Linked DNA regions of Rhinolophus ferrumequinum. The main gene of each other region encodes a partner of the protein of the gene in region 2 in a complex. Links are inferred from orthologs where the notes say so. Each region holds a gene or a part of one and is shown on either strand. Other genes may lie near its edges.

What was found.
Region 1: the proteins of APLNR (region 2) and APLN are in contact, whole or in part, in a cryo-EM structure (PDB 8XZG), measured with the Homo sapiens proteins. The link is inferred for Rhinolophus ferrumequinum from reciprocal best matches to the Homo sapiens genes APLNR and APLN. Residues at the interface, in NP_005152.1 of Homo sapiens: Tyr35, Phe78, Trp85, Tyr88, Thr89, Tyr93, Ser106, Ile109, Phe110, Met113, Pro163, Val164, Arg168, Gln180, Cys181, Tyr182, Met183, Tyr185, Glu194, Glu198, Leu201, Gly202, Ser205, Tyr264, Lys268, Tyr271, Ser275, Cys281, Asp284, Leu285; in NP_059109.3 of Homo sapiens: Arg66, Pro67, Arg68, Leu69, Ser70, His71, Lys72, Gly73, Pro74, Met75, Pro76, Phe77.

Annotation. Positions count from the first base shown.
Region 1 is NC_046284.1:26,309,042-26,316,107, reverse strand, and holds the start of APLN (apelin), read right to left. Parts: upstream 3,236-7,066; 5' UTR 2,928-3,235; coding exon 2,861-2,927; intron 1-2,860. UniProt on the Homo sapiens protein: Peptide hormone that functions as endogenous ligand for the G-protein-coupled apelin receptor (APLNR/APJ), that plays a role in cadiovascular homeostasis. Functions as a balanced agonist activating both G(i) protein pathway and beta-arrestin pathway of APLNR.
Region 2 is NC_046294.1:11,826,845-11,834,829, reverse strand, and holds the start of APLNR (apelin receptor), read right to left. Parts: upstream 3,008-7,985; 5' UTR 2,780-3,007; coding exon 1,628-2,779; 3' UTR 1-1,627. UniProt on the Homo sapiens protein: G protein-coupled receptor for peptide hormones apelin (APLN) and apelin receptor early endogenous ligand (APELA/ELA), that plays a role in the regulation of normal cardiovascular function and fluid homeostasis.

The DNA.
Region 1 (7,066 bases), on a different chromosome or scaffold from region 2:
AATCTCCAGCCTAGAGGGACTGCAGCCACTGCTCTCCAAAACACCATTAGCAATGAAGCTCCAGCATCTCCACATGGAGAACCACAGTCAGGGGTAAGAAGGGTTTGATTTTCAGACAGCCTAGATTCCAAGTCTGCCAATGCACAAAGAGGTTCATGTGACTTTTCAGAAACAAGCCAGCCTCACCAGCAATGACACACCTCTAGTCACCCAGGTTATCTTGTGATTGCTTTTAAAGCCCACACAAGTGCTCTGTTGGGGACCTTGTTGGCTATGTCTCCTCCACTGTTCGGGTGTGCTGCATGTGTCTCCAGGATGAGCCCCTCTCCTTTTCCTGCCTGGCCCCCCACCACAGTGTCCTAAGGGATCTTCCCAGGCCATCTTTGCTGCCCTTGCAGCCTGGACCTCCACTTCACTTGCATTACTCCTTTGCCACCCTGTGAGACCTGACTCAGGTTACATGGGTGCTTAGCACATAGGGATTGGGGATAGAGTGTTGATTCCCACTCCTTGAGCAGGAGGAGTATAGTAGGCTGTCCTCACATTATCACTGTGACTGCAGGCTTTGAGCTGGGGCTGGGAAGGGGGAGGAGAAGGAGAGAAAGAGAGGTGCTCAGACAAAGACCAAGGGACACTTGGCCCCAGCTCAGCAACTCTCAGACTCAGAAGAGCAAAGTGCGTCCCAGGTCAAGAGGCAGTGGAGGAGTATGTGTGTGCTGTGTGGGGGAGGAGGGACATTCCAAGTCAGGACAGAGTGTGTTGTGGAGGAAGCATGGTTTTCAGGCCCAGGACTCTCACTGGGGACTCTGTGTGGGAAGAGCACGCAAGTCTGGGCCAAGGGTAACGTGATTCTGGGGATCCTGTTTCTGACCCAAGACAGAAGGCAGAAGGAAGATTGCATGGGTACCTGGATCCTTGGCTGGTTGCCACCTGTACAGAGGTGCCCTTCCTCAGCTCCAGGAGAGATCATGGGGTGGAGAAGTGGCAGTGGGAGCCTTGGAAGTTTCCTGTGCTAGACTTAAGCAAAATGTGAGAGCAACAAATTTACCCAAGTCAGAGTGTGAAGATAGATGATACGATGAAGAAGGGTGAATCAAAGCAAGAAGAGTCAGGGTCTGGGCCAGACACAGTGTTCCCTAACCAACTCTCCCCTTTACCAGTACTTCCCTAACAACTGGACCCCAAAAGGGTTCTAGTGGAGGTCACTTGGCCTCCGGGGGAGCACCAGGTATGCAGATCAGGTAGCTCCAGCTTCCTCTGGGATGTCCTTTCTGCATCTACTCTTTCTTCCCTGAAGGCACCACCTTGGACTGTTTGCCAGTAATGGTATCGGGTGGCTATCTTGTCCTGCCAACTGCATGGATGGCAGGCTCATGGAGGGCAGACCCAGGTAGTTCCTTTCATTCATATTTCTTGCTTTCTTCCTGCCATTGCCTGTCTGACTAGGAATTTCTAAGGAAAAAGCCTGCTCCCTTCTTACCAAAGAGGTGGCTTGACCCAGCACTTAGGCCCTGAGAGGAAGACCATTGGTGATGGCAGTGTGATGCCACACCCAACTGATATACCTTCCTAAAAAGCCAGGGCCAGAGCAGTGCCAAAGGACAAGAGCTGACAAAGGAGGAGGCCTACAAAGAGAGAGAGGTGGAGCCCCACCAGGCCCCTCAGAGGCTCCTGGGCTGCAGACCATGCTCCTGCTCTGGAGGATCTGGAACCAAGTGGGGTCCTTTGCCTTTCCTCTAAGAAACTTGTTGCCCTGCCCTCTCCTCCCCTCTGCTCCAACCTCCTTGGGACTCCAGCCCTGGCACTGGCATTAGTTCACCTGGTCTTGGCCTTTCCTTCTGCGGTGCCAGGCAGGCAGCTGTGACAGCCAGATCACAGGACTGTGGCAGGTAGAGGTGGGAGCTGGCAGCCCCAAGAGACACTGACACAGAGGCCAGGCAGGCCAGGCTGGGGCTGCTGGGTCATGAGTGGAGAACAGGTTTGGGGAGGGCGAGTGAGCACCAATCCCAAGTATGCCAGGTGGGGGGTGTGATGCAGGTGGGGGCAAAAGAACTCCCCTTCCCTGAGCTGAATGGAGATGTTAGTCAGGCACGCTTTCCTGGTTTAGTGCCTGAGACAGGGGTACTAAGGTGAAACATGCCTGTGTCTAGGCCAGAGGGGAGGCCTGAGCCAGGATATGGAAGAACAGCCTGTGGGCCTCCTGTGCAGGAGCAGAACAGACCAGACAGGACCTTGGGGTAAGGTAGACCAGCCTGGCCTGGCCCTGCTGGGCTAGGCCAGGGGGAGGCTGCCTTTGCTCACATGCAAGCTGAAGGGAGCAATAGTTGGGCTCCCTGTCGCTGCCCCCTCCGCATTCTCCAGCCTATGCAACAAGTGTCACGTCTGCATCTTGGCACATTATCCCCAGTGGCTTCTGCCCCGGTACGGGCCAGCAGTTCCTAACCTTCAGGGGCCAAAAACCTTCAAGGCGGGAGCCTAGCCCACCGGACTCAGGTCAGTGCCCTCCATCGATCCATGAGGGGAGCGGGATATGGCCCCTACCACCCTCCACCATGTGGGACATGGGGCGCGGGACACTGGGTGCACTCCTGCGGCCCTGACCTCCTGAGACTGCTAGCAGCGGCCAGGAGGGGCGAGACGCAGAGCGGATGATGCCCGAGGCCGCAGCCGGCTGGTCCCTAGCCGGGGGGCGTCCTGTCAGTTGACTGCCCGGTGCAGCCGACCCGTATCTGCTCCTGCCCTGCGGGCGCCGGGCTTCCGCAGGCGGAGAGCGCGCGGGTGGGGCGGAGGGTAGGGAGCGCGGCGGCGTCAGCCCGAGAGCGGCTAGGGGAGCGCGGGCGGGCGGGAGGAGCGCACTCACCTCCACACACCGCGGTCAGGGAGAGCCACAACAGCAGGAGCGCTAGCACGCAGAACCGCAGATTCATGCTGCTCCTCCAGCCACCACACCGCGGCCCTGGCCAGGGGACAGGGAGGCGGAGAGGCCCAGCGCCCGCAGGCCAAGAAAGGCGCGAGCTGCGGCTGGTGCCGGCGGGTGGGCGCTGAGGTTGCCGGGCTCCTGGGCCGCACCGCAGGCTGGCCAGCCGTGGGTGCTCTCCGGCTCCACTCGCCTTCAGCCTCCCACTCCTGCGCGGGCAGCGCCGCCAAGCTGGCCTCAGCGGCTCCGGTGGCAGTGGCGAACTCTTTCCAAGAGGCTAGCTGCTCGGCGGAGGCTCTAGCTGCCCGAGGTCCAGACTGCCAGCGAGAATGCTGCTTGCTCACTCCAGGGGCTGCATTTTGTAGCTTGTGGCTTGGCCTCGAGCCCACTTGGTCATGTGGTCATCCGGAGGGCTGGAGGGAGAGCCAGGAAGACCGAGAGGGGCGAGCATCCCGCACCTCCCCACTCTGGGCACGCAGTCTGTGGCCCCAGCCAGGGCGCTAGAGGGAACCTGGAGGTAGCCCCACAACAAAGGCTGCACTGCAGCTCCAGCAACCACAATCGCTCCCCGAACAATGCCCGCCTGGCTGGGAGCCAGAGGGTTTGGGAGACCTGAAGGATTTCAAACATAGAAAGCATTTGGGGGCGGTGGAGGGGCACACTTAACCGTTTCTCACCTGACTTCCTTAATAGTTGTCAAGGAACCCAGGTGCTCTGGGAAGGACCCCGCCCAGGCTGCCCCCACTCACCCACAGCATCTCTGACCCTCTCCTTTCCCTGCCCATCCGCAGCAACAGGGCTTGTCCAAGACGACCCCACACTGGCCCTCCTCTCTTTTCTGCAACACAAACTGGGTTTGAGTTGGAGATTATTGCCCAGACTTGTGCCTAAGACTGCTTCATTGCCCAGTGACCCGAGGAGGCATCCTCTACCTGGAATGGCCCCACCCAGCCCATCCTGCCCGAGAGTTCTTCATTCTTGCAGCGGCACTTCAAATCCCATCTTATTCAGATAACAATATTCCAGGAGGGGCTGCCCCTGGGTTCCTCCTGGCTTTGGGACATACAGCAGCTCCTGTGGTGTCCCCTTTTTTGTTCCCCATCATTAAGAGAGGAGGACGGTTTGCCCGACTCCAACAGTCTAGACTGGATTCATTATACATGTCCTTCGGATTCCCCTTTGTAAGTGGGTCGTGAAGTTATTTGCCTTCCCAGACTAGACTGTTGGTTCCTACAGCCTTGGAGCTCACAAAGGAAGGGAATACCTTGATCACCGGACTGGGAAACCCCTAAGATTGGATCCTGTCTGCTCTTTCTTCTGCATCTCTCTGAAGTCCCCAATATCTAACTCTGCACATAGGTGGCACTCAACACATGTTAAAAGACTAAACTGAAAGGTGTTTCCACATTTCGGCTGGCCAGGAAGTTTGCTTGAAATGCAATTCCATATTTACACAAAAGATAGATTGGACAGTGCGTAATGTATGCCACGGTATATTTAAAATATGTTTGAAATGTTAATACAATTCAGTACATACACAATTTATTACCAATCTCCCTCCATCGTAATTGTCAGCTCCACAAGAAAGAGATTTCCACCTTGTTCACAGCTGTATCCCCAAATCTAGAACAGTGCCTGGGGCATAGTGCTCAACACATAATTTTGAATATATAAATAATTTTTTCAAAAACATCCCTTTTGCCTAAATCAAGGTAGTGGGAAGGGAATAAAATAGCCACAGTCCAATAGGAAAAAGGCAGAGATGTGAAGCAGAGCACCTCTTCATCTGTGAGGCCCAGGCTGTGAGCAGCGGGCATTAGTAGCAGGAGATCATTTCCCCATGCTGTCCCCCTAGAAAAAAATCTTCCAAATAGGAGGAAAAACACCTGGCCTCTAGTCCACACCCTTATCTGCTGTAAGGCCATGATATCATTACTAAAATTTACCGGGTCTCATGGGGATGATCATCTCCACCCTACCCTCTTCAGGGTTGCTATGGGATTTAATGAGATAATGTACCTAAAGGCACGGTACCAATAGGAATAAACCCTTGTAGAGTCACTGCTCCAACCCCTGATTCAGTAAGCCCATGCACCCCCAAATGAGTGCCCCACGTAACTAGGCTAATAGAATCACTCATATGTAATTACACCATTACTAGGGTGTGTAGGGGTTATTTGCTAAATGGTTAGAGCTGTGCTTTCCAATCTAGTAGATACTAACAATGTTTAAAATAAAATGAAAAAAAATCATTTCCTCAGTCACACTGGCCACATTTTCATTGCTCAGTAGCCACATGTGATATTGGACAGCACAGAATAGAACCTTCCAATCATTGCAGAAAATTCTATCAGTGGCAAAGTCAGGACTGGAATGAATTATAACAGTGTTGAATCATAACACCTTATTCATTCTTCCTTTCTCTAAATCCTTTCCCCCACCTATCTTAGCCTTCAAAATGCACAAGGGGAAAAAATACAACTAACCAAGTGTTCAAGGCAAGCAACATTCAGTAAATAGAAGGCATGGATTTAGAGCAAGATTTAAAGAGCTGAACATATGAGAGAATCATGTTTTAATCTAATCTTTCTTTCCATTTAACCAAATTGCATCCATTTTTCCAGTCCCAGATCCAAGATCTCATCTTCCTTCTTTCTCAGGCCATTCTTGCTCATGGTGATTTTGCCCACTTTGTAACAGCTATAGCTGTACCTTTCATTGGCAGTTACTTTTGCAATGTGTTGGGAGCACTTTCGTGTCTGCACGCTGTGCCCTGTGGGCCTATGGAGAAGGTCCTCCACCAGCTTACCCATTCTGGAAGTGAGGCTCATGAGGCAAGGAATGCAACCCTGATTAATCACTCTGAAACCCCCGTGGGCATATTCAAATGACCCCAACAGTATATTCAAATGACCAGTTTTCATATCTGTCTCCACTCACTGAGATTTGAGAAGCAAATTCTCACTGCTCTGGGACCATATATCCCTTTATTTGCACTTCTAATGCCTTACTCATACTGTCTTGGATCAAATTAGGAAGCAGTGAGTCATAGTGCTTAAGCACGTGTATTCTGGAATAAGGCAGCTCTGTCACTTACTACATAGGTAACTTTGGGTAAATTATTTGCCCTTTCTGAGACTTGGGTTCCTCATCCGAAAAAGGGTTAGTACCTAGCTACCTGGGTTATTGGAAGGATTAAATAAATCAGTACCTATAAGGTACTTGACACAGTGCTTGGCTCTTCTGGTAAGGCAAGCATTGTATAAATGTTACATATTCTCATAAATATTTGTGTATATGTCTTACCAACACTATGAGATAGTAAGACTATGTGTTCTCACCAGCAGTGCTGGTACCCAAAGCCAATAATAAATGTTCATTGAAGGAACTGTATAGTCATACTAATAATCACATGTTTATGATATATATCAAGTGTCCTTAATTGGATACTTTTATTTGGGTAAAATCATCACAATTTGTCCAACAGATTCTTAGATGGGTCAATGCCAATAGTTAGAAATATGAGATAGGACAATTAAGTTCGCGAACTCATCCTAGACAAAGTGCTACATGCCTCATTGCTGAATATCATTACAGTCACCTTCGAAGTACTCCCCTTGGGAAGCTATACACCGAGGCCAGTGCCTAGTCCACCCTTCAAAGCAATTTTGGAACCCTTTTTCTGGAATAGCCATCAGAGCTGTCATCATATTACCCTTGACATCCTGAATGTCATTAAAATGTCTTCCTTTTGGGGCAGCCAGTTAGCTCAGCTGGTTAGAACATGGTGCTCTTAACAACAAGGTTTCTGGTTCAGTCCCCACATGGGCCACTGTGAGCTGTGCCCTCCACAACTTGATTGAAACAACTACTTGACTTGGAGCTAATGGGTCCTGGAAAAACACACTTAAAATTAAAAAAAAAAAAGTCTTCCTTTCAATATTTCCTTTATCTTTGGGTAAAAAAAGAAGTAATCGGGGGCCAGATCAGGTGAGTAAGGAGGGTGTTCCAATACAATCATTTGTTTACTGGCTATAAACTCCCTCACAGACAGTGCCATGTGAGCTGGTGCATTGTCCTGATGCAAGAGCCATGAATTGTTGGCAAAAAGTTCAGGTTGTCTAACTTTTTCACACAGCCTTTTCAGCA
Region 2 (7,985 bases):
CAGTGCTCTTCACTCCATGGCAAGCAGGTGCTCCCCTTAAGAAGAGGGTCACAGACCCTGGAAGAGGGAGCATGAAAGAAACACCCATAAACTCAAAACAAGGTGAGGAGCATGGGAAAGGGGCCAAAGGAAACTCTTAACCAGCCTCCTGTGTCCCTCATGAAACGAGGGAAGGCATGGGGACCCAACACATAGGACCTCCTCAAGCCGTGGGCACCAGTTGCTCTGGGGAGTACTCTCCTTATATGGAGCCCAGAGCAAACACACAGACTTCTCCCTTAAAGCACGGACCAGCCGTCGGAGCCCCCAAATCCAGTGGGGGGTGGACACATTTTTATTCTATATTGCCTCAACATGTCCTTTCTTCCCTCAAGGATACTGTGTGAAGAATGAAGACGTGGTGGAAAGGAAGGGGTTGTTATCCAAGTGACAAGTGACACAGGCACACTACTCTTCATGCTTTGCTCAGCAGGCTTACACACACACACACACACACACACACACACACACACAAGAAGCATCTCCACTGCAGCGAAAGTGACTTGGCACTGAGTATCTCCAGTGCCCAAGAAAAACCTCCTGGGGGTGACGGGGTGGGGAGTGTGGGGGACAGGGGAGAGACCTGCAGCTCAGCGTCGGAGGAGGTTTGAGGGGGAAGGAAAGCCAAGCAGCGTGTAGAAGAAATGCAGATGCCCCTTTTTCTCCCAACTCCCCATTCACATAATGAAACCAAATAGCCGGTTGCTTCACCAACCTCACTGCCTCCCGGTTCCCACAGAGACCAGAGGATGAATGAAAGGGTCTGAGGACATCTGCAGAAAGCACATCTAGTTGACATCTTGGAGGGGATGTGGGAAGGGAGGCCCCTTCTGGAATCGCTCTACCCCCAGTGCCTGAAATCACAGCGCACTGATTCTGTTTGGGGGAAAGTTCTGGAGCGCCTGCCTGCAGACTGCAGCGCTAATTCTTTGCTGACACCCAGCCCACCCCCGCCCCAGCCCATTCCCTTGGCTTTCTCAGGGAACAGGATAAAGAGCTTGAACTGGAGTGGTGTTTACAAGCTTCAGGATTCTTAACCCTTAGGAGTCCTTCAGAACAAGGAGGTAAAAAGGGGGAAGAAGAAAGGATTGAGGGAGGGGGATGAGCTAGGAAGAAGGGGTGGGAATCAGAGGTAAGGATTCAGAGTGAAAATTACAGAGACAGAGGGGAAAACAGAGAGAGGACGAGAGGAGAGAAAAGTGAAAGGAAAGGACGGAGAAAAAAGAGCTGGAGATCCAAGAAAAAGGGAGTGGGGGAACGAACTTTTATTGAGCCAGACGCACACATCATATTACTACCCTTCAGTATGGTTTCCCCCATGTTACACAAATGGAGAAACTGAGACGTTAAGAGACTTGTGCCACGTCAGTCCCACAGATATTGAGTGGCCAAGCATGGGTCCGCAGGGCTCAGACTCCTTCCACAAAACCTCTGACCAAAACTAACGGAGAAAAATGGACAAGAGGGAGGCGGGAGGCAGGGGGCAGGGAAAGAAGTCAAGTGCAAGAGAGAGGGTACCCTCATGAGACCTGACTTTCAGAGAGAGCGCGAGGGCAGAGGGCACCAGGCCTCCCTGGGAATCCCAGCCCTAGTCAGCCACAAGGGTCTCTTGGCTGTAGGGGATGGATTTCTCCTGTGTCTGCTCCCCGACCTTCCCTGAGTTAGGGCCGGGCCCCTGGCTGTGCCCTGAGGAGTAGCTGGCGGACTTCTCTGCACTGCTGCTGTGGGAGGCGCCCCCACACCTGCTCTGGCCCCAGCAGAGCACCGAGGTGCACGCCTGGCGGAAGCGGGGGTCAAAGAAGGCGTAGAGGAAGGGATTGAGGCAGCTGTTGATGTAGCTGATGCAGGTGCAGTAGGGGAAGACGTTCATGAGGAAGAGGTCGAAGCCGCAGGGCCAGTGCAGCAGGCTGCCCAGCATGTAGAGCGTCTTCACCAGGTGGTAGGGCGTCCAGCACAGGGCGAAGGTCACCACCAGCACCACGATGATGCTCAGCAACCGGCGCCGCTTGCGCAGGCCCTCGATGCGCTCCTTCCGGAAGTGGCCGGCGATGGTTTGCGCGATGAAGAAGTAACAGGTCAGCATGATGGTGAAGGGCACCACGAAGCCCAGGGCCGTGGACGAGACCCCCAGGCCCACCTCCCAGGCCCACTCCGAGCTGGAGGTGGCCACCATGGAGTAGTCCATGTAGCACTGCACCTTGGTGATGTTCTCCAGGTTGGGAACCACCGCGGTGGCCCGGAACACCATGACCGGCACGGCCAGGAGGGCAGCCAGCACCCACAGGACCGCTGTGGCCACAGCCCCGCTGACCCGCAGCCTCAGCCGAGCGTTGGCCACTGGCCTCACGATGGCCAGGTAACGGTCGAAGCTGAGGCCGGTGAGGCAGAAGACGCTGGCGTACATGTTGACAAAAATGAGATAGCTGCTGAGTTTGCAGGCGAAGGAACCGAAGGGCCAGTCGTAGTCCCGGTACGTGTAAGTGGCCCACAGAGGCAGGGTCACCACGAAAGTCAGATCAGCCACCGCCAGGCTGGAGATGAAGATATCAGCCGAGCGCCTCTTCTCCCTGCTGGTCCGAAACACGGTCCAGAGCACCAGGCCGTTGCCCGTGGTGCCCAGGAGGAAGACCAGCATGTAGATGGCCGGGATGAGGGCCCCTGAGGATTTCCAGTCCGTGTACTCACACTCAGACTGGTTGTCTGCCCCATAATCATTGTCGAAATCTCCACCTTCCTCCATGCTGGGGGGCAGAGAGAAGCCGAGCAGGGGATCCCCCAGGCAACCAGCTCGGTGGCTGTGTCACCAACTCAGCAAGCGCCCAGAGCTTCTGGCTTGAGCCTTGGAAGGAAGGCGGGTGCAAAAGGGCCGAAGGTGTCCTGAGCCCTTCCCAGCAGCGGGAGGAGGATGCCTGCTTCTGCAGATTTCCCTCCAGCCTCTCCTGCCTTGCCCCAGCCTCAGCTAAGACACTTCCTGCGCCCTCCTGAGTCTCTGTCTCCTCCTTGACTCGTCACTCCCTCCTCCCACCTACAGACCAACCCCTCACTTGTGAGTCTTAAGATATTTCAGTTACAACCCACTTTTCTTTTTCCTTCTTGTCACTGGGCAAGTGGCAGAATGTTATCTGTGCCTTGCAGCCAGCTCTTCTCCTGGCTCCGCCTCTATCCCTCTGGTTTCCTCTGGTCTTTGGAGTGCCCCCTCCTCAACCCTCCTGTTCTCACCTCCTCCCATCCCCTCTAAATGGGGCAAATTATGCAGATTGAAATCCAGCCTGAGCTGGAGCCAGGGAGGGCAGGGGGCTAGGAGAGTGTGAGATTTCGCAGGATGATCTGAGCATCTGGCAAGCCCTCCTGGCAGGCGGGTCTGGCCCCTTGGGTCTGTCCTACCCTCCCCTCTTTCCCTCCCAGACTTCACTTTACTCTTCTGCTCACGTCACGCTGCTTTACCCCTGGGCTTTGACCCTCTCTCTGGGAACATTTATATTTTACAGACACAGTTATAGGGCAATTTCTCTAGAATTCATAAGCTGTTGGCAGATAGAAGTTTGCAGATGGCATAGAAAGTTTTAGAAAGTCAGGAGAGAGTCACAGGACAAAAGAAACCCCAGACAAAAGGATCTCTAATCAAGTCATTAAATCTATGGGGAAACTGAGGCCCAAGGTCGCAGGATGAATTTTGTTCCAGTTTTGTTGTTTGCTTTTCTTCTTCTCCAAGCACCTAACACAGGGCCTGGCGTGTAGTAGGCGATCACTAAGGGAGAGAATGAAAAGAGGAGCCCATAGATAGAGAAAAGAGAATATGGATTACTATGCAGTGAGAACATGGATACATTTCAATCCTCAGGTTCTTACTACATGGACCAGGTTTCTTTACAGCCGTATGGGGACCAGACGTGACAACTAGAGGAAGAGGCAGAGAAAAGGGCAGTCGCTGAGTCGATGCCGTGGGCACAGTCACATAGAAACGCACATTGCCCTGTCTGCCTACCTCTCCAGGACCTCTTGGCAGGAAGAGGGGAGGGCTGCACAAGATAAGATAAAAAATATGCACATGCCCTCCCCACCCCAAGAATGGAGGAGGCGATCTAAAGTTGGGCAGGGGTGAGATGAAGCAAAATCAGGAGACGAGTCTTGCCTACATCCAAAGCGAAGGGTTTACAAAACGAGAATCCATTGTCTCAAGAGAGGTTTAGTCAGAAAATCTTCTGCAGAGGTCACAAAGCAGGAACCCCAAACTCAAATACCCGCAGAGACCAGGCTAAGAATGTAGACGGGTGAAACAGGCAGTTTGAGACAATAAGGAGTGGTGGAGACTGTGCGCAAACACACTCCATCGAAAGGAGGCCTCCTCAGCTCCCATCTCTGATTGCCAGCATTTCCGTGCCTTATGGTTTTCTTGACAAAACTTTAAATTCTGGATTTCATGAGAAATTTCCAGATTTGTAAATGTGGGAAATTAATTCCATTTTTAAAAAGATAGGGCAGCACAAGGAAAACATGTCCTCAGGCCCCTCCCTATTCAGTGCCCTTTGAACAGGAATAGAAAGTGAGAGGAAAACAGGGAGGGTAGGCCAGGAGGAAGAAATATAAAATGCAAAGATAGAGAAATTATAATAAGCATGGTCAAAGCCTTAGGGTGCAATGGAGGGACTACAGGAGAGGAGGCTGGAGAGAAAGATGAGAAAGGTCCGAGGGTCTTGGATGGCTTTTACCTGAAGGCAGTGTGTGAATGAGAACACGTTGGTATTCCTCATGAGGATTATATATGGAGCAGTTACTACATGCTAGACATTCTTCTGAACATGTTATATTTTATACTGTGTTCCCCCGAAAATAAGACCTAGCCAGACCATCAGCTCTAATGCATCTTTTGGAGCAAAAATTAATATAAGACCCGGTCTTATATTACATTATATTATATAAGACCCGGTCTAATATTACAGTAAAATAAGACCAGTTCTAATATTAATTTTTGCTCCAAAAGATGCATTAGAGTTGATTGTCCAGCTAGGTCTTATTTTGGGGGAAACACGGTACGTATTTATTTCTTTTAACTGGCAAAACTATTTTAGTAAGTAAGTACTCTCATTCATCTCAATTTACTGATGAGGAAGCTGAGGCACAAGGAAGTGAAACAACTTGTGGTCACCCAGCTAGTAATTTGCAGAATCAGAATTTGAACCAAGGCTGTCTTGAGTTCATGGATTCAAGCACTGTGTTCCCAAAGAAAAAAAAAACTCCAACCCTTTTTAGATTGGGGCATTTGTCATCTGTTGAGCATTATAGAAATGTAGGACAAAAGATTTATACAATCTAAAGAGAAACCAGAGTAGAGTTTCTGCTGAAAAGTCTGATGATAGTTTAATGGGCTTTCCCTTATCGATTACTGCTATTTTTCCCCTGGCCGCCTTGAGAATTCTTTCTTTGCCAATTGCAGCATTATATACAGTGGCCAGGACGTGGAAACAACCAAAGTGTCCTTCGATAGATGAATGGATAAGGAATATGTGGTATATATACGCAATGGAATACTATTCTGCCATAAGAAAAGATGAAATACTGCCATTTGCGACAACATGGATGAATCTTGAGATTATATGCTAAGTGAAATAAGTCAGACAGAAAAAGTTGAGAACCATATGACTTCACTCATATGTGGGATATAAAACTGAAAACAACAAAGGAAAAAAACAAAGAAAGAAAGAAACAAAAATTCATAGACACAGCAAATAGTTTAGTGGTTACCAGAGGGTAATGGGGGGTGGAGGGTGGTAGAAGAGGGTAAAGGGGGTCAAACATATGGTGACGGAAGGAGAACTGACTCTGGGTGGTGAGCACACAATGTGATATATAAATGATGTATTATAGAAGTGCACACTTGAAACCTACGTAATTTTACTAACCATTATCACCCCAATAAATTTAATTTAGAAAGAAAGAAAGAAAGAAAGAAAGAAAGAAAGAAAGAAAGAAAGAAAGAAAGAAAGAAAGAAAGAAAGAAAGAAAGAAAGAAAGAAAGAAAGAAAGAAAAAGTGTAGGAGAGTGCAAGGATACCCATAATTTTGAAATGAGCTCTTTGGGGTGAAATTAAAAATGGATTGATTAAAATACTTCAGAGAGACTCCCTACTCTTGATTGAATAGGGTGTAAGAGCCCTGCCAGACAACAATAGTCTGTACGGTACCCTTACAGTTAGCACCATAGCTCGATCCAGAAACTGCCCTGTTCCTTGCCATTCCCAAAGACGGTTCTTGGTTGCCTGATGCCAGCCCAGCCTCTGGAACCTTGGCAGTCTGCAAAATGCCGGTCGGGACACCGAATAGGACCCAGGACCCAGAGCTGGAGCTTCATGGATCTCACAGTACACAGGGTAGTGATGCCTGGGGCCTGCTTGCTCCCACATGTTTGTCTAATAGAAGCCTATGCAGGTGGCAGAATGGCTGTCATTATAACCTGACAGCAGGCTCGGGTGGCAGATGTTCAAGTTCAACCCCTCAGACTTCTTCAAGCTGGACTTATCAAAAGGGACCTTAGAGTTGAGCAGGAACCTGTTTGGCTCAGGTCAGCTCACAATTGATGTGCCTGTAATGAATTAAAATAACTGCTCAGGACATTCCCGGATAAAAGCCAAATTTGAGACCCCCAGGGAATCCAGATCTTCTCTGCTTCTCCAAGGAAGATTTAGGTACCCCTGCCCTTTGCAGCTAGGAGCATAGACATGCGGGGAGCAAGTGAGCTCAGGGTGTCCCCAAAATCAGGTTCCTCCCCTCAGCTGTACCCATTTGGATCCTGAGCCAGATGGAGACCCCGTAGAAGAGGATATAGATCCACCTCCTTAATCCTCTAGCCTCAGACTCTCTGCCTCCCAGGAGGTAAGAAGTTGTTAATCTCACCAAAGGAACCAGACTGGCTGAAATGAGAGGGAATGGGAGGCCAAGGCTGGGAGGGACCCCTGACTGAGGCCAGAGGAGATACAGTATAGATAAGATCCTGCCTCCAGCCAAGAACCTGCTGGAACCAGATGGCCTGAGTGCCCCCAGCCTGCAATCAGCCAGCCTCACTCCTCACCCAGCCTCATACCCAAGGCCCCTGTCCATCCAACGCAGAAGATGCCAGTTCGGTCAATAGGACGAGTAGCTGGAGGCAGACCTTATGTGCCCCCAGAGTCCAGAAGTTAGCCCTCCCCGGACAGAGAGTACCTGGGAAGAAGCGGCTTTTCACCTCTGTGCCCCCTAGACTTGGCACCTGGTAAATGCCTATTGAATTAAAGCCATAGGAGGCACTTAGGAAAAGGATGTGAAAGGCTGGTCTGCACCCCAAGGCTGCTCCCCTGCATTCACAAAGGCAACTTTTTGCTAAATTGATCCAGAATAATCTACCCTGAGCCATCTGGCAAACCAGCAGCTAGGGCAGGACTGTCAGCCAGTGTCCCCTGGGCTGGCCTACCCTGGAGAGGCCAAGCAGGTTTCCCGGGGAACTTCTCTCTCTCCTGGGTGATTTCTGAGGGTATTGTGATGAGCCTGAGATGAACAGCTCCTGGCAGGACAGGGCCCCAGACATGCCACAGGGGCTTTGAGGACAGCCCAGACTGCTGGGGCACCTCTGGAGTCAGTGAGTCAGTAGCCCTCACCCACCCCACCCCCAGGTTGGTTCCTGGCCTGAAAAGCAGAGACAGGCTTGGCTTTGTGCCTGTAGCTGTGTGGCTATGTACACTTGTGAGCCGGGTTTGTATGTGCCCTGGGGTCGCTTGTGAGCAGACGGGACTTGTGCACTGGGTACAGTAGGGAGTGTGTGGTGGGGTCAGGGCTCTGGATAAACATCCTCCTGGAGGACAGGAAAGGGTGGTTGATTGGATCTCTCTAAGGGTCTGGCAAGAGGGGAAAACACAGAAACCTCGCCCAGGCTTTGCCTCACGATCTGGGTGGAGGACATCAAAGTGGCAGCCAGCC